Linked DNA regions of Drosophila melanogaster. Changing the gene in region 3 together with the main gene of any one other region gives a genetic interaction. Each region holds a gene or a part of one and is shown on either strand. Other genes may lie near its edges.

Region 1 (4,904 bases), on a different chromosome or scaffold from region 3:
AAGTACGCCCTAACCTTTAAAGGACTGGGGCAAATCAGTTCTTTTTCAGTTATACTCTGGCTATTTTTATAGACCTGGCTAACGACTTGCACTAATGGCCAACGTCAGGCAATGGTCGCGGCCGGCTGCGTAGGCCCACGGAACATGGCCCACGACCCGCGTCACGGCCGATTGCACTTTAACACTTGACCAGGTTGAAACACCGGACACCGGAGAGCGGAGAACGCGGGTGTGTCCAGCGTACAATTTCCATTCCATTCTCGATTTTCATTTATGTACGTGCCAGAGAATTTCCATAAACTCGCGGGGTCACGTGTTGTTATCGTTAACGCAATGCAGGTAGTTTCGGTTCATTTGTGTTTTCCCTCCACTTTTCCAGCGTGCCTAGTATACCTGTGCCGCGATTTTTCCCCTGAAAATGATGGATTATATCTGTTTAGGGCGGAAATTCAAACGAAAGCCGTACAGAAACCACTCTCGAAGTGAAGATGACGCTGATGATCTTCGCTGTCGGTGTCTGGATTTTACGATGGAAGCTGCCATAAACCAGTTGCTGTGATGCCTTTCAGGGATTTCCCAGCCCAGACATTCATTTTCTCTTCTTTTTATTCGTCGGTTTTCCTTGTCAATCATAAACCAAAGTCATTTGATAAATTCTACGATAAAAGGTATACGAAAATACAGGGCCTATAGAGAGGTTGGTTCTTTACAATTAAAAGAAAATGTGTTCATGGAAATGAATGAATTATAGCTCTTTATTAGGGCTTTTCACTCGTTTGGATTTTTTTTAATTATTAAGCTGAAAATTTGTTTACTATTAGCTTCAAGAGCTGATAAACTGGTTTACTATGTTTTCGCTGCACTCCAGGGCTTTCCCTACTTCGAGTTGGAAAACTCTTTCTCTATCTGTGCTCCCTTCTCCTGAGTGTTCTTCTTATCAACCTATCAACGGAATTGCGGTATTGCTGACGTTGAGTTGGCCGCGCTTTTGCAACTGTTGTACTTCACTTTCCGGCCAAAAGATAAGATTGCGCGTAACAACAGCCGGATGGCTGGCCGTTTGGAGGGTTGGTACTCGAATTGTAAATAAATAGACCCAATTTTTGAGGTCGTTTTTGCACAATCCGTTGGAAAAAGGGGGCAGACAATGCTAAGCCAGCCAAACAATTGAGCCGCGGACAACATGTAACAGAAAATTACACATAATGAGTCAGCAAGAGTTGTGAATCAATTATTATGATCGTTATGCGATAAGTTTCACAGATTTCACTGTTGTGATATCGCTAAAAGCGCTTTGAAAATGCAGACAAATGAGGTTTTATTACCAAAAAATCGCACCAGTATCAACAAATGCAGAAACAATAATTTGTTACGATTCCCTGTTATTTACCTAAAAATATGATATCCATTTGTAAGCTACAGTGTGTAAAAAATGCGGGTCACGTTAAAATATCTCTTCTGGTTTCAGTAATTAATTCTTCTTGGCCAAGATTGCTAACATTAACCGCCTTTGAAGCTATAATTTGATTAATTATCTCTCTCAGCGACTAAAGTTGTACTCTACTAAATATAAATTTATACGCAATCGAAGCTAATACATTTCTAAGCATTCCTTTTGTTTGCAAGATAAGACCGAGCACACAATCATCAAAAATTAGAAATGAGTGTATAATTAACACAATCAAACTTCAGGTAAGCCAGCTCCATGAGTCACTTCTTGAAGGAAAACCCGTTGAACGAGTTTTTCGTAGGCCCGAAATCATTGAAAATCCAAATTCCTTTTACCCAACATGACTTGGTCAACATCCCCAAAACACACGAATGCCCCACCACACACACACATGACCTGTTGCTCTTTTTTTTCGATTACGAGCTTTTGAAACATCAGCAAATGTTTAAGCTAAAGAATGCATGTGGCTCATCATATAAATTATTTACAGTGTGACTTCCGTAACTCAATCTCATTAACTCATTAATCATATGAGCAGCCAAAGGCTTAAACACAATAACAACATTACAAATTCCATTTAAAATGGGCATCTAATATACATTTTAATAATTTATAACGGGCAAGTTCAGTGCTGTGGAGTGATCACTGTAGCTTAAGAACCGCGTAAACACCGTGTTGCTCTCTCATGTCCCCATCTTCGCTCTCTCCTCCTGAATGTCCTCGACTGCCTATCGCCCTCCCTCTCACTCACTCGCTAGCTCCCTCTCAGGGTTCTCTCTCACCTGTTGCTAAGTAAATAAGTATGAAGAGCGGTATCCATTGAGGCGACGAATAAACTGAAATGGCGCGCTTGAGCAAATGCGACGTAATTTGAGCTGCGCTTTTCGTGCGGTCTCGACTTCTTGCTGTTGTTGTTGCTGTTTCTACTGATGCCGCCACTGTTGTTGTTGTGGTCGTTGCTGTTTCTGCTTGCCGCTGTTTTTGTTGTTGCGACAGTGACGCATTGGCGATTTTAGCCATGATCGCTGATTTGTTGGCTCAAGTCGAGTTTTCGTATTGGAAAGGGTTGCTTTTGGCTAGATATTATTGCTATTCAAACGATACTCATTGAGCTTGTTGTTGTTGGTAATTGCATTCTCCCTTCTCTCTGCTCCACGCAAACACTCATACGCACACACACACACGCGCGCAATCGGCACTTGGCTTAGAACAGGTTATTTTTATTTTTTTTAAGTTATATTCCTCTTTTTCTGCTAGTTGTATTATTTGCAAACTTTCGCACGCGACACTTTCTAGCCTGAATTTGAATATTGAGCACAGAGATTCCACTTTGAGCCAACTAATTTGCCATTTCTTCCCAGGCCACGATTCTGAATCACACCAACACACACACACACATACGAGCGCCGAAGACTTGGCTTAAAAGAGAGGTGCGCTGTTCTTGTTGTTGTCGCTGCCCTTTTGAACTGCAAGCAGCACACACACACGCGCGCGCACACACATTGGCCAAAACGGGGCGAAAAAAACGTTACGAGCGCGAGCAACCAATAAAACGTACGTACGAGCAGCAAGAAAAATGTTCGACCGTTTGAATCGGCGATATCCGTTTCGTGGGCTTATATATGGTGCAGTGTGACCAGTCCGCTTGGCTAGGTTTGGCTGGATTTTGATATAGAGTCAACATGCATGGCCACACTGATATTCAAGTTGCACAGTGGTACAATATGTACAAAAAAAATATTTTGTTCTTGAATTGATTTCGCACAAGAATTAAACCGTTAATTACATTTTCATAAAACTTTACTGATATAACTATTCAATATATCAATTAATATCGTGTGTATGTCTAGGTGACATTCCAAAATACACGAGCATAGTAAAGTTTAATTTATGGCGGGAACATGAAAACGTAAACTTCACTTAAATTACCAACGGCAGTTATGGGTTTTGTAAGTTGTGACCTACATCATCATAATCCAAATAGAATAAACCTTTTATAATACCGCAAATCTTAACTTGCGAAAATTCCGCACTGCACATATTTTCAAGTCGGAATGCATAAAAGTAAATTCCCCATAAATCAAGAAGCCGGCGGATAGCAACTACGTACTTAATGTAAATGTAAACGGCCACAAAGCGCCGACTTATCGTTTCAAAGAGAACTCAGCATAAACAGGCAGCACCGACAACATGTCGTCAATTTTTGGAGGTCTAGGTGGGACTATATAATGTGGGTAAGCCTGGTTAGAAATCACAGCAGTTGGGGAATTAGCAAAATGGGCAAATCGCAAAATAATACTGGTTCGCTTTTGCTACTGATTATACTGGGCATTTCTCTGGGAGATTCCATGCCCCTGGAGGATATGGACTCCCAGGAAATGATTGACTTGACAGATCTTGGAGATACTCTGTTCGGTAATCCGGACGTGGAGACGACTGGAGCTTTGGTTGAGGCACTCGGTGTGGAATCCCCGCTGAATCCCGAGGAGCTGGGAACCTACCACGAAGGTGACATCCTGATTCCACTGAGCTACAGGGACGCCCGATTCAATGGCACTCGTAATGGCATTTTGGCGCTGAGTTCCCGCTGGCCGGGCGGCGTTGTGCCCTACGAGATCAAAGGTCCTTTTACCAGCCAGGAATTGGGGAATATTAACCACGCTTTTAAGGTGAGGTTTCAGTAATAGTCCCTATTACAATTTACAAATAAGATTTTGTATCTTAGGAATACCACACCAAAACATGCGTGCGCTTCAAGCCCAGGACCACCGAAAAGGATTACATCTCCATTGGTAGCGGAAAGTCTGGCTGCTGGAGTAGCATTGGGCGCTTAGGTGGTCGCCAGGAAGTGAATCTGCAGTCGCCCAACTGCTTGCGTACATACGGCACTCCCATTCACGAGCTGATGCACGCCCTGGGCTTCTTCCATGAGCAGAATCGTCACGAACGTGACTCCTATGTGCGCGTGATGAAGGACAACATCAAGCCCGAGATGATGGTCAACTTCGAGAAGTCCAGTTCCAGGACACAGTACGGCTTCGGCGTGGAATACGACTATGGCAGTGTGATGCACTACTCCCCCACCAGTTTCACTCGGAATGGCCAGCCCACGTTGAAGGCACTGCGTGCCACATCCGATGCCAGCCAGATGGGTCAACGCAAGGGCTTCTCAGCCGGAGATGTGCGCAAGATCAACGCAATGTACAAGTGCAAGGTGTAGATGACAACTGCAGTCGAAGCATTCGGTAACAGTATTTTGACAAACATAAATATTTATCATCAACAATCAATTGTGTTTACTGAAAAAATATGTCTATGGGTACAATATTTGGTTAGATAATTAACAATCGCCTATGTGCGTCGTGTCTTGTACTGCTCCGGGAACTCTCACGCCATCCCATCCTAGTGGTACGGCAGGTTCTTATTTGTCTCAAAGAAATAGTTGCCCTGCATG
Region 2 (7,491 bases), on a different chromosome or scaffold from region 3:
AATTGTGCAAGAAATTTTGCATTCATATCGTGATCTTTCGATTTGCAACTAAAACAACTAAAGCACGCCTCATGTTTTAGATAATCAATATATACGAATAGTTTTGGTTTGATATTAATTGCTGCTAATCAAGTGAAATGTGCGCAGAAACACACTGACTTTATTATAATATTTCTATTTCTTATATTTTGCAGATTGCAGCACAAAAACAATAAAGAGTTCAGACGATAATATCCTGGAAAGAAAACATTTCGTTTCGATAAGTACGACAAGACACGAAACAACAAAATGTCTCCAAAAGCGGTAAGTTAACCAATAACTATAAAATAATAAATAATTAGTACTGATTAGACAGTATTATAATAAGTTCGAAATATTCCATTATAATGGTAACCATATATCACTGGAATGAAACCACAAACGAATCTGATAAAACAAATGTTTTGCACTAGCGCCTAGTAAATTATTAAAGATTAGTTATATTAAATCACAACGAAAAGTTTGTCAGCTATCAGCTATCGGAAATTGTGTTCTTATCAAGAGAGCACTTCAGCTACAATTGTCGTCAATTGTGGAGTGTTGGGATCGCATCGCATCTTTTAATAGAACTTCTTCTGGGGGGGAATGGGGATGGCCAGGCGAAGACGTCATATTGGCCCAACTGTTGACGTTGGTAATTGTATTTGATTCTTGGACATTTGCCAAAAAAAATTTCATCATTTCATCAGATACGCAGACGGCGAAAAATTGGATTAGAAGACGACGTCATTGATATGAACACATGAGTAGATCATTATTTCATACCAAAGCATTTGCCAATTTCTTTTTGACATGTTGTGATTTCTTTTTTTTTTTTTTTGGCAACCGGAAAAGTTCTTATCTCACCCAGCGATGGTCTAATGACATTTTTGCCTCAACTTGATTGTTAATGAATGATGTATTTGTTATGAGTTCATCATGACAATCAAACACGTGATTTGAAGTGATTTTATAATACAATTTGGATGATTGAAAGGTGATTTTTGCACAAAGCTTTAAGAAGTCGTTTGCCTTTTAGGGAAATTTCTCTGTTCCAATGCAGTAGTCGATGCACATCGTGCTTGAATGGTTTCTCCATAACTTTCCCTTTTTCGCTATAGTTTTTCTCATCCATAACTAGATGTTTATTGGTCTGTTTGAATAGCTTGATATGTGAGTGCGGAGTGGGGAGGGGGGAGGGGTTTAATTGCTATTTGAGGCCCAAAAGCGGCATCAATAAAACAGAATTGACAGCCAACGCGTCGTATGATTGACGCTGATTTGTTTGCCTACCTTGGGGCTGCGTTTCTACGGCGCTCTCTCGTGCTCTTCGGCGCACAGCGCTGGCCAAATGACTAGTGTTCAAACTAAAAATTAGCTAACTATACAGCTAATTCAATCAATAATTCATTTAGAGAATTGGTTGTGTTTTGATTTATATATATATTTTTTAAATATATTTTACCATATTGCACTATTTACTTGACCCCCATTGCATTCACATACTTCTCTCGTTCTGGAAAACCCATTTGACCTCTATGGTCAGCAGTTCTTTTCTTTATGGTTGCGGCTGTCCACTTTTAGATGCATAATTAACATGCAATTTATATTAACTTGACAACGAATGACTGGGATAAAAATTTTCCCATTTTCTTGGGCAGAAATTAAGTTCATTTTGTGTTGTGTTGTGTGTTCCCTTAGCGTTTCTTTTGCGTTCTGCCGCCGCCGCCGCTTTCCCAGTGTTGTTTTTTGTTTTTCTTCTCTTCTAGCATTTATTTTCCTTTTGCCTTTTGCGCTTGTCTTCCCCATTTGGCGACTTAAAAACGTGCCGTGACTTTTCCATTTTCCTCAGTTGCCGCTGGACAACAGAATCGAATCGTCGCTTTTCCGCTTTTAACCATCGTGTCGCGTTGGTCGGTTGGTTTTCCCGCGTAGCTTGTGGCTGCTCAAGAATATATATATATTTCCCAGACGGAGATTTGCATTGAAAAGGCGTAATAATTCAAAAGCTACTGCGCAATCCGTTTTCGGTGCCCAAAATGGTCGTCGTCTCCGACAGCCGCGTCCGTTTGCCGCGTTACGGCGGAGTCAGCGTCAAACGGAAAACGGTACGGACCACACTGCTCACTATTTTCCACGTTTTTCCTGCTAAGCTGGAAAAGCGCATCCCCCTTTTCTTTTTTTTTTTTTTCATGTGCTGCACTTTTGTGGTTTCAAGTCAAAAACCATTTTTTTTTCTTTTTTAAAAACTGGTTATTATGCTCCAACTTCCGTTGCAAATAGCTGTTGTGTTTTTCATTCTCAGCGGCCAGGGGGAGAAAAAAACAAAGCAGAAACCACGGTGGTTGCATTAACCCAAAAACGTTAATTGGATTGAAATGAAAAACGTTTTCAATTTCCTAACATTGTGTCACGTTTGATTTGCATTCAGCAGCCGAAAGCGAAAACAAAACAATGAGCCCTCGGACTGAAAAGCAAAACCGAGCCAAACAAAATGATGAAGTTAAAAAATTTTAATTTGTTGGGTCTACCACACATTGTTTTTTCCCATGCCCAGAAAATGGTAACAAAAACCAGCGGATTTTCAAAGGGCCTTTAAAACTGAAATTGGTTCAATCAATCTTAACAGATAGGAAATAAAATAGTTTAAAAAAATTTGTAGCTGATTTAGGTATTTAGCAAAATTCCTTTGTATATTTCAATAAAGTAAAGGAATATTTTAAACGAATGGTTTTTAATGTAAGACTTACATTTGTTGGCCATGTTGTAAAAAGCGAACTGAATTGTTAGTTATATATACTCTATTGTCTGCGCTGCATATTAACCCCAATTTTGATCTACGATCGCATTTACTTTGATCCAAATGTGGCGATTGCGCAATGGTATGTAGTGTAGTTAGTACAGGTTGACATGTGCATGTGCTGTGTGTCCGACGTTGGGTGGCGATGTGGGTGGAATTTCCCTAGCTTTTCCGCCATTTCACATTGCAAGTTGGTCAAGTGGCACGCGCAGTGGGATAGATAGCGGCTGAGCTCTCTCTTTCTATCTCTCTCTTGTATAACCACCGATTACCACTCGCTGGCCATCCGGTCTATATTCCCATACACACACACACACACACACACGCACACCCCACACCCTGTGTTTTCCCCCCACTTATTTCCACTATCTAGAGCTGCCTGGTCATTTCCAGCTTGTTGCTATTGTCATGCCTGATTGATTTTTGCTTTGCTGTTTTCCAAGCGTGATTTTTCACTGCGGCCCGCTTTCATTTTCCCTCTTTCCATTTTGCCCTCCATTTTCCCCCATTTCCCCCCATTTTTTCAAGCATTTTTCACCCATTTGAAACGTGTGTGTGCGCGCGTTTAAGTCGAAAGCCCGACTTATGCAAGTCGTGGCAATCGAATCCAATCCTCCAAAGCGAAACGGGAGCTCTTGGCACGTGCCCTGCTCACATCCCGTTAATCCATCGACCCCTAAACAAATCGTGGGGGATTCTCCTCTGCACGCCACCTTCATCGATGGGTGTCAATTTTTTACTCTTTTTTTTTTCTATTTGGCTTGTGAGCATGCCCAGTTAGTTTGATCTAGTTAGCTTTTCATGTCATGGATGATGGCACTTTTAACTTAAGAAATGCAGCAAAAGAAACAAATAAGTTACATTTAATTAATAAAACATTCTGTTTGATTCATTCGTTTTTAGTTTGCCTTCTAAAGGCAATGCTTTGTTCTTTTATATATATATATATATATATATTTTTGCGTTATTTTAATCATTTAATACGATATTTTTTTAATATCACGACATCCCTTACTAATTTCAGCTAAATGTGCGCGTCACGACAATGGACGCGGAACTGGAGTTCGCCATTCAGTCGACGACGACGGGCAAGCAATTGTTTGACCAGGTGGTGAAGACGATCGGCCTGCGAGAGGTTTGGTTCTTTGGACTCCAGTACACCGACTCCAAGGGCGACTCCACATGGATCAAGCTGTACAAAAAGGTAGGCGACTATAAATTTCATACAAATAAAGTTTGAAGTTTATAGTTCAAAAGAATATAAATTTAAATTATTTACTAAGATTGCATGTACATCATAATATTTATAAATGTAATGTATGGTACATACATAATATAGCCCGAATCGCCGGCCATAAAGACAATAAAATATTTAAAGCGTGTAAAGAAGTATGTGGACAAAAAGACAGCCGACAGCAATGGAGTAAATCATTTAGAGACGAGCGAAGAGGATGACGACGCCGATGATATGGTGGGCAGAGATCGAGAATATATTTATATATATATATATATGCCAATCCAGCAAAGTACATCCACAAAAAGTCCCAGCTAGAACATAAACCGAATTATCCTGTAAAATGCCAATTCTATAATTGTATTGTATCGCCTCGCCTTCGAATGCTTAGCTTAAGTTAATTAGCGATTGTTAGAGACTTGATTTACTAATACAAATGCAATCTCTGTATATGATTTAATGCTGCACCACAACAACAAACAGACTGGATCAATGCCGTTTTCGACATGGGTAACACTCAGACGCCGCATGCACTTTTTTATCTATGATATTATGTTTATTATTTCATTATTGAATCGGGAAAACCAAACGTTTTTTTTTTTTTCGTATACAAATCCATTTGCAGTTTGTAAACTTTAGCGTGCATTCGCATCTAATAGTGATATGTTTTCGCTTTTCACAGGTGATGAACCAGGACGTGAAGAAGGAGAATCCCTTGCAGTTTAGGTTCCGTGCCAAATTCTATCCCGAGGATGTGGCCGAGGAGCTGATCCAGGACATTACACTGCGTCTGTTCTACCTGCAGGTGAAGAATGCCATACTGACCGACGAGATCTATTGTCCGCCAGAGACATCCGTGCTGCTCGCCTCGTACGCCGTCCAGGCGCGTCATGGTGACCACAATAAGACCACCCACACAGCCGGCTTTCTGGCCAACGATCGCCTGCTGCCGCAGCGCGTCATCGACCAGCACAAGATGTCCAAGGACGAGTGGGAGCAGTCGATTATGACCTGGTGGCAGGAGCATCGCAGCATGCTGCGCGAGGATGCCATGATGGAGTATCTGAAGATCGCCCAAGACCTGGAGATGTACGGCGTTAACTACTTTGAGATCCGCAACAAGAAGGGCACGGATCTTTGGCTGGGCGTAGACGCACTGGGTCTGAACATTTACGAGCAGGACGATAGGTTGACGCCGAAAATTGGTTTCCCATGGTCCGAGATTCGCAACATTTCGTTCTCGGAGAAGAAGTTCATCATCAAGCCGATCGACAAGAAGGCTCCGGACTTTATGTTCTTTGCGCCACGTGTCCGCATCAACAAGCGCATTCTGGCCCTCTGCATGGGCAACCACGAGCTGTACATGCGTCGCCGCAAGCCGGACACCATCGATGTGCAGCAGATGAAGGCGCAGGCGCGCGAGGAGAAGAATGCCAAACAGCAGGAACGGTTAGTACGGATTTCAAGTCATGTCTGTTTGAATGAATCAAAACTTTGGGAATTTCAACGAAATACAACGTTTCAATGACCCGAAACATAATGATTCGAGCATATCATTTCCATGAGAGTCTGATTCATGCACAGGCTATAATCTGCAAGCAGATGATTCCCTTCTTATTTTCGGTGTTCTTTCGTTTTTGCAGTGAGAAGCTGCAGCTGGCGCTGGCCGCACGCGAACGCGCTGAAAAGAAGCAGCAGGAGTACGAGGATCGGCTAAAGCAGATGCAGGAGGACATGGAGCGTTCGCAGCGCGATCTGCTTGAGGCGCAGGACATGATCCGCCGGCTGGAGGAGCAGCTGAAGCAGCTGCAGGCCGCCAAGGATGAGCTGGAGCTGCGCCAGAAGGAGCTGCAGGCGATGCTGCAGCGCCTCGAGGAGGCCAAGAATATGGAGGCCGTCGAGAAGCTCAAGCTCGAGGAGGAGATCATGGCCAAGCAGATGGAGGTGCAGCGCATTCAGGACGAGGTCAACGCCAAGGATGAGGAGACAAAGCGTCTGCAGGACGAAGTGGAAGACGCCCGACGCAAGCAGGTCATTGCGGTACACTTTTTTCACTATTTGTTGGCATCGAAAAAACCAATGAATATAGTCTTGATACCATTTTGTGTTCAACTTTATACTGAACATTGTCGTTTTTGTAGGCTGAAGCCGCTGCCGCTCTGCTGGCCGCGTCGACAACGCCGCAGCATCACCACGTGGCCGAGGATGAGAACGAGAACGAGGAGGAGCTGACGAACGGCGATGCCGGTGGCGATGTGTCGCGCGACCTGGACACCGACGAGCATATCAAGGACCCCATCGAGGACAGACGCACGCTGGCCGAGCGCAACGAACGCTTGCACGATCAGCTCAAGGTGGGTTCGAAATCGAGTCCCTTATGCTCCACTCAACTAACAATATCAATTTGATATATATATATATCTATATCTAGGCTCTGAAACAAGATTTGGCGCAGTCTCGCGACGAGACGAAAGAGACGGCAAACGATAAGATTCATCGCGAGAACGTTCGCCAGGGACGTGACAAGTACAAGACGCTCCGCGAGATTCGTAAGGGCAACACAAAGCGTCGCGTCGATCAGTTTGAGAACATGTAAAAGCTATCAAAGATCAGAGATCGATAGTGCGCGGGAAAGAGAGAGGGAGCGGTGAGACTCCAGAAAGAAAAAGAAAAAGATATAACTACAGCAAGAGCAGATAATAATAATGATGATTGATAATGATGAAGATGATGATGAAGAATAAGCAACAAATATAATTCCGGTCGCTGGCAAAAGCCTATTGCTAACTATCCCACCAGCGACGACCCTTTTCCACCCATAAGAACACTTCCTGCCTCCTAAAGTGAATTGAAATGAAATATACTTTGTTTGACCGTCGTTTTGTCTCGCAGCTTTTGTATAGAAGAATCAAGAATAAGCAAAAAGAAAAAAAGAAAAAATAAATTAATGGAAACTAATTTAGCCGGACACAGCACTCATCAATATGAATAGAATGAGAAGACGGTTAGGAAGGACCGCATCTATATGGACAATCAGCAAATGAATGAGGATCAAGCTATCGGAAAATATGTCTAAATCCAAGCAGAAGCAATAGAAAATATACATTTCTCCTTTTCCCAATGGATTCATTGAGAAAACGGAACGAATAGTAATAGATATTGAAAAGGAACATCAGCAACAATAAACAACAACAACATCAACAACAACAAGAACAGCTACTACAACAAAACAAACAACTATTTGCATTTTCCCCCGTTATAATTATTATTTTTATTATTATATAATTACTATTTTTTTTAAATTTGTATAATTAAATAAGAACTTGATTAATTGTTTCTTAAATTAACTTGAGAGAGAGCAACAAACAAAAAGAGAAAAAATATATTATATAAAATATTTTTCTTTAATCTATTTTTGTTTTGCAAGAAAAGAAAGATT
Region 3 (6,839 bases):
CATAATTACTAATAATTAATTGTTATTGCGAATCCTGCAACCGTTCGAACCAAACAGATCGACTGACGAAAAAAAGAAAAACAACAGCTCCAACACGAAAACGAATCAAATGCGGGTAGAAATATAATAGAATTGCTTTCGCCGCGAAAGTTAAGCGATTAAAAAGTACGTTTTAAGAGAAAAGGCTTGGGAACTAGATGTTCAAAGCAATGTGTCGTGTCCATGTTGTTTCGAAAACGACATACCTGTTCGGGAATAATATTGTGAAACCTAATACCTAATCGATGAAAAACCAAAACATTTTGATTCATAATGTTATGTACATTTTAAATGTAAAAAAAAAAATTAAATACAAAAGCACAAAATAAACAAAAACAATACCCTCAATAAAGATTTTTTTAACCCCGTTAAAGATAAGTGTTTTGACTTTAAAGGGCGGGTATTCCCCGGATTTAAATCCATTATCTTAGCCTAATAAAATTCGATGCCCGGCCAAATAAGAAAACAGTTAGTTAAACCAAGAGTAGATCAAATGTACTGTTTATTCATAAGTATAATATAGTTTGGTTGTATCTGATGCATCTTCGAGTTTTTCAACTTCTGTGTGAGAATTACACGATTGACGGTACAAAATACAAAAAAAGAGACATACACATATGTACTGTATAGTATAATTATATGTATAATCGTATTTTATAAAATCATAAAATACTCTTCATATAGTTGTTTGGTTGTTTTGTAGTATCTTTTTTTTTTTATGTTTTCCACTCGTTTTAATGCAAAGTACAAATATTAAAAACTCGCTTAATGCGCTCGAAATAGTTTTTCACTTCATCAAAAATTTTCCCTCTTAGCATCTCCCACGCGAAAACTGAATGCATCTCATTTGTGGCTTACGTTTAGTTAAATAAACATTTATCGTTTTTGTTTTGTTTTGTTTTGTGTTTAGTTCGGCTCTTGTAATGTAGTTTCGCTTCCAACTCCTATTGGCGGCCTGGTCTCTCTGTATTTGATAGATTTAATGGGAACATAACTCTCATCTTGACGCCTACGACCTCCTTGGACCCCGGGATCCAACATCCGATTCCGTTTCCGATTCTGTTCCTAATTCCACTGATTCACCTGACTCACTCACCCTCGCATACGACACAATCTCGTCCAGCCACAGCCGACTCTACACTTGACAACACAGTTAACGAAATAATAACATACATCTAGGAGGAGGGGGTGGACAGAAACGGACACAACTTGAATATGTTTACATATATCGATATATATTTTTTGCTTGCAGTGGCTGACTGATTGATCTGCTCTGCCCTAGTTTTTACAAATAATAATGCCAGAGTTATTACTGTTGTTTACTTCGGTTTATAACTACACTAGACTGTATATAAAATCAAATCCGCATTTGACATTCTACTTGGTGCTGCCTTCCCTTATATCTCGCTGCATCCCTCCTCCGCTGATCTTCTAGCTCAAGCTCTCTGTTTTCTGCTCATGTTTGTTGCTGGTTGGGTGGTGGTGCAGCTTCGTGTATCCGATGTTCTGGTTGTTCTTGATGTTGTTGTTGAGTGGTTGTTGTTCAGCTCGTTATTGTTGTAAAAGGTGTGTATGTGTGTTTGTGTGTGTTTATGCTGTTGTTTTTGCTGTGTGTGTGTGTGGTAAAGATTTTCATGTTGTTGATTTGCTCTTTTAGAGCAAAAGGCATCTGGTCTTCTTCCTCTTTTTGACTTGCAGCGCGGCCCTAGTTGCCGTCTCGAAAACATCTCGCACACCCTCCTTGGACTTAGCCGAACACTCCAAATAGGCAAAGGCATTAATCTTCTCGGCCATGGCGCGACCCTCCTGCGGCTTCACCGGCTCCTGCTTCATTTTTGCTAGATCCTGTAAAATCAAGTTTAGTTTAGTGCTGCAAGTTCACCTCGTTCAACAGCGCGTATACGTACCCGAATTGTGTTGGGATCATTTCGCAAATCTTTCTTATTTCCTACCAAAATGATTGGAACATTTGGACAAAAGTGTTTGACCTGCAATAATGTAGTAAGGATTAGTATCATATTTTGATATCAGATTCCATATAGTCGAACTGCAAAAACAAGTAATTCGTAATTGGGAACCACTTACTTTCTTCTTATCTATATCTATCATTATAAATTAAAGGCTGAGAAGTAAGGAAATGATTCAGAAAGTCAAAGCAAATTGGCTCATAGCAGACTATTTTTAGTGATTAAACTAGAAATAACCAACAATTCTATTAAACTTTCCTCGTTCTAAACCAAAACCAGTCTTTCAGATAGCTTCAATGACATAAACAAGAACACAGAGATGCATAGTCTTAAAGATTCCATATCATAAGCAAATGCATTCGATAACTTCAAAAATGTTTAATATATTTTAACTGGAGTTAAAAGTTCAACTTTTTCCAAATTTGCATCATTACATAAAAATTAAAAACATATTTTGTCTAGACTTGTTAGTTCCGTATAGTATATATATATATAGTACCATACTTGTTTACGATCGTCTGATAGAAACTGTTCTGTAATTCCAGTTAAACTCACCTCTGGGGTCCATTTTTCAGGAATATTTTCTAGCGAATCGGGTGAATCCACTGAGAAACACATCAGTATGACGTCAGTGTCGGGATAGCTCAGCGGTCGTAGTCTGTCGTAGTCCTCCTGCCCGGCCGTATCCCACAAGGCCAGCTCCACCTGGAGAATCGGATGCGGATTATGATTGAGAGTTACGCTTGCAGTTGCGGTGTCGTCAGGGTTATAGATAGATGGGGCTTTTTGTGGCACGGGACGGTGCGATGCGGGCTCGGAGGAGAATGGGACAAGTTCGAGTTGAAGATAGCATGAGTGCGAGTACGAGAGTGTGAGCAAGGAACTTGACGGAAATGCCAAACGAATTAATCACATCGAAGCGAGGCGAAGTGGAATGACGTGAACTTGTGTGTATGTAAACGCTATCCAAACAGAAACACAAACAGAAACTGAAAATTGAAAACCCGCCATATTGCGCAGCAAAGGCAAACACACAGTGTTTATTTCGAAAAAAAGCGCCTGAAAATACTGTAGATCCCAAATGGAATATATGAACGAACATATAGCCAAATCATGACTTGATGCCCCAATGGAAAACGCACATTACATTCCATAGAGTAAGGGAGTGCGCGGTGGAGCGGGAGAGCGCTCCCCCCCCTTAGAAGAGAGTACAGGTAGGCAGGGAGAAAGAGTAAGAGTGAGAGCGCCCGAGAGAGCAGCAGAAAGAGCGGGGGGCGGCGCAACGCATTAAACTGTATGTGCGCAACGGACTTGTATAAGACAAATACAAAATAAAAAGAAAAGAAAACGAGCGGAAGGAAGGGAGCAGCACTACTTCTGTGTGTGTGTGTGTGCTGCCAACTCTCTGTTGAGCATGTGTGCGTGTAAGTGTGGGGAAATGTGCCCAAGTGTGACTTAATCACTGCTATCAAAACTTTGAATTCTTCGGAAAAATCCAAATTTGCACTCCACTTAACCAAAAATGATCTTAATTTTTCTTTTGCTTTTCCAGACACCTTTATTTATGGATGCGTCTGTGGGCATGAGGCGATATTGACTCATTTCATTTTACAGGCGAAGAAAAGGAAATACAACGACCAAGGTGTGGGTGAAGTTGTGGGTGGCACAAACAAGAGAACAATAAACACACACCCATGGGAACACACACCCGCACACACACACACACACACACACACACACACAGAGGCGGGTGGAAAGTGTAAGGAGGATACGCGCACTTGAAAAACGGAATGAATTGAGAATGCACACAAATTATAAAACGAGATCAGACGATTATCACTTGGATGGCAGGGTGGGGTTATCAGGGGAGGGGGGTCAGCCACCGGTTGGGGGTGGCATTCAGAGTGGTGGACGGGACGGGTAGTTAGGGGAGGGGCGGGCCTGTCCGGGAAAAGGGGCTTACCTGTTTGCCATCCACCTCGATGTCGGCCACATAATTCTCGAATACGGTGGGCACATAGACCTCGGGGAACTGATCTTTGCTGAAGACAATCAGAAGGCAAGTTTTACCGCAGGCACCGTCGCCGACAATTACCAATTTCTTGCGAATCGTCGTCATTGGAAGTTCTGCAAAAGGCAAAATCAAACTGTAGCTAGATGCAATGCAAGTGCAGCGGATGCCCGAGGATTCCGAGTCCGATTCTGAATCCGAATACAATTTTCGATTCCGAATCCGAGTCAGCCGTTCTGTTTTATATATTCGCGAAAACTGAACGAGCGCCTGTTCAAAAAATTATCAAAATGAAAAAGCCACACACACACTCGCATACAGTCACACGCACACTGGTGGACACACAGCACAAATACACTCGCGCGCTCGCTCTCTTTTCCGATAGCCCTCTCCCGCTCGCGCACACACTTAGTCATACTTGCGGCTGGACGGCGATCTAATAGTATAAAGTGTGGGGTTCTTTCTTATCTGGCCATTGTCCATTGTCCGTTAGCCGAGTTTTTCCCGTTTTTCTTTACGGTTTTTCGCATTCGCATTTTCATTTTGGTCGCGTCATAGGGCCGCCCGCTTCTCCACCCCTCTCTCCAACACTCCAGGAAACTCCTCTCTCCGCGCCCGTCCCGCTCACACTTTATTCCAAAAACATCTCATCATCCACTCTCGGTATGGCTGTGTGTGTGTGTGTGTGCGTGTGTCTGTTCGCCTCTGGCTGGGCGTGCGTGCATTTGTGTGCGTGCTGTGTGGAATTTTTTCACTTCTGCTCTTTCGGCCACTTACAATTTATATTGGTGATTTCACAACACTCAGCACGAATTCGACACTTAATTTGCTTACAAAATGGCACAAATTTGTTGATTCTTATGCGTCTACCGTTTAGCTATATCGTATAAAAGTTAATGCAATTACAAAAATTCGAATTGAACTCGACGATTTTTTCCCATGCAAAATGACGATGAACAATGTTCATCCGTTTCATTTCTCGGTAGCGGGATGAACGCTCGATGACCAACCAACGCCTTCGAGCGCAGGGCTGTTATTAACCCAATCGATAGTTCTCATCGATGGCAACTCTGTGCGCGTTATTCCCATGACCGACCACGACTGGTAACACCGCACATATGTTATTCTTGCTCTTCTTCTTAAATTTGCGGTCGCATGGCCCGGGAAGTATTGGTAGTTCAGCAAAAAACTGAAAAGGAATGCTTGACGAACATATTCTGAAAGAAATGAAACTGAGCTTCCAGCTCACCGAACAGCGAGAACTAGCCTCTGGTCGCCGTAAGCCGGAAAAACCACAACACCCACCTGCTGTTCCAAAGAAAAAAGTTATTTCAAAGGTGGCCAGCAATCCTGCAAAGATTTCGGAAACAATGATTCAAAAAGCCCAGATGGAGTCGCCCAAAAAATCCAAGAAAAATAAGACAGCCGGCGCAAAGAGACCTCTTTCCAATAATGTGTCGAATCCAGACAGTTCACCATCCCAGAAGAGGCTTAAAAAGGATAATACCCTACCCAAAAAGAATCCTGTAAATAAATCCTCAAATGTTGCAGCTAAAAAATCTGCAGCAACAAGCAAAAGTGCTAAGCTTCCTATTCCCAAGGTTCATAGTATAAATGGTATGCATTAGATCCAGAATTACAACCTCATTTTATTTTAATATATATGTATTTTTCAGAATTAGCTCCTAAGAAAACCAAAGTCAAGACGCCAAATAAAACAAAAGAAGCAAGTTTATCTAAGAAACATAAGGTAAATGGAAACAAGAGCTCAATGAAGGTCGTACAAAATGGTAAAGTAGTAGAGATAATTGGTACTGCAGCGGAAACAAGTGACATTGAAATGAATTCATTGGATGATTGGAGTGAAGAAGACGATTATTTAATTGAAAGTGGTAAGGAATTTTTAATATTACTCTTGTTTCTTAACTTAAACTATGTTTTTTAGACTCTGAAAACGATGTAGTTGAAGAAATAGACGAGACATTTCTTAAAGATCCAAAGATTTTTAAGGTCAAATGCAAAGGCCCCGAATACAAGTTATCAGATATTCTTCCTCCTTTTGAACACGATGAATACCAACCTCTTTTGTTGGATGGGGATGGCAGTGGAACAGTTCGAAAGATTAAGGTATTTAAAAGTGCACAGGAAGAAACTGACAGCGACGAAGATGACATTGATTATGAGCCAGAAGATAGCGATGACTTTGGATCGGAGGAATTTGACAGCGAAGAGTCTGACAGTGAAGACACAAGCAGCGCAGACTATGATAGTGATGGAGATTTCTACAGTGAATATAGCGATATGGAGGATGTTAGTGACAGCGATAGTGAAGAATTCGGAAGCGATATCTTCGACACCGACGACCTCGATTCAACTTATGAGCCACCTGACATTGAGGGATTCTTCGATCATCCACCTGTGGGTATGCAAAGAGAGCCGCTTATTATAGAGGAAATCTTCGACGATCCGCCTGTGGAAAAAAAGCAAGAACGTATTGAACAGTCAAGTGTTATGGATATTGTTGTAAAAAACTTAAGCAGTGTGCCCCCAAAGAAGGAGTCTGAAGTTGCAATTGAAACCGAAGAGAATGATGAGGTATCACTGCCTGAAGTTGTAACACCAGAAAAGGAAAATTATCTCCAACCAAGCGATGTCCCGTTTTACAGAAATCCGCAAGCGAATCCCACTGAGCTTAGCGTCTTTGAGAACAGTCTGAAGAGCAATCATGTGCTGGCCGTGATTAAGGAGGACCTCGAAGTTTATGGCACACTAGTGTTGACTCTACTCTGTGGTCAAATATCAGTAAATGGTTACAGAGCACG

The links. Genes that interact genetically often act in the same process or in processes that back each other up.
Region 1: of Rho1 (region 3) and crb, changing one suppresses a phenotype caused by changing the other (phenotypic suppression), as found in Drosophila melanogaster (2 studies listed by BioGRID).
Region 2: of Rho1 (region 3) and Moe, changing one suppresses a phenotype caused by changing the other (phenotypic suppression), as found in Drosophila melanogaster (3 studies listed by BioGRID).

What each region holds. Positions count from the first base shown.
Region 1 is NT_033777.3:24,293,193-24,298,096, reverse strand, and holds the start of crb (crumbs), read right to left. Parts: upstream 3,020-4,904; 5' UTR 2,471-3,019; coding exon 2,233-2,470; intron 1-2,232. Other genes in the region: CG5715 (uncharacterized protein), read left to right, coding at 3,727-4,119, 4,176-4,670; Uck (Uridine-cytidine kinase), read right to left, coding at 4,853-4,904.
Region 2 is NC_004354.4:8,873,104-8,880,594, reverse strand, and holds Moe (moesin), read left to right. Parts: upstream 1-1,869; 5' UTR 1,870-2,057; coding exon 2,058-2,126; intron 2,127-3,433; exon of another isoform or gene 3,434-3,539; coding exon of another isoform or gene 3,540-3,581; intron 3,582-3,842; coding exon 3,843-4,022; intron 4,023-4,157; coding exon 4,158-4,289; intron 4,290-4,535; coding exon 4,536-4,562; intron 4,563-4,573; exon of another isoform or gene 4,574-4,734; coding exon 4,735-5,501; intron 5,502-5,695; coding exon 5,696-6,092; intron 6,093-6,193; coding exon 6,194-6,406; intron 6,407-6,483; coding exon 6,484-6,648; 3' UTR 6,649-6,972; downstream 6,973-7,491. UniProt on the Drosophila melanogaster protein: Involved in connections of major cytoskeletal structures to the plasma membrane. Together with wgn, involved in control of axon targeting of R8 and R2-R5 photoreceptors, independent of egr.
Region 3 is NT_033778.4:16,100,905-16,107,743, reverse strand, and holds Rho1 (Rho1), read right to left. Parts: upstream 5,058-6,839; 5' UTR 4,852-5,057; exon of another isoform or gene 4,795-4,851; intron 4,648-4,794; exon of another isoform or gene 4,436-4,647; intron 4,279-4,435; exon of another isoform or gene 4,134-4,278; 5' UTR 4,126-4,133; coding exon 3,970-4,125; intron 2,712-3,969; coding exon 2,562-2,711; intron 2,028-2,561; coding exon 1,947-2,027; intron 1,885-1,946; coding exon 1,693-1,884; 3' UTR 515-1,692; downstream 1-514. Other genes in the region: CG8414 (uncharacterized protein), read left to right, coding at 5,217-5,634, 5,694-5,909, 5,963-6,839. UniProt on the Drosophila melanogaster protein: Has a role in regulating actin cytoskeletal organization: required during early development for proper execution of morphogenetic movements of individual cells and groups of cells important for the formation of the embryonic body plan.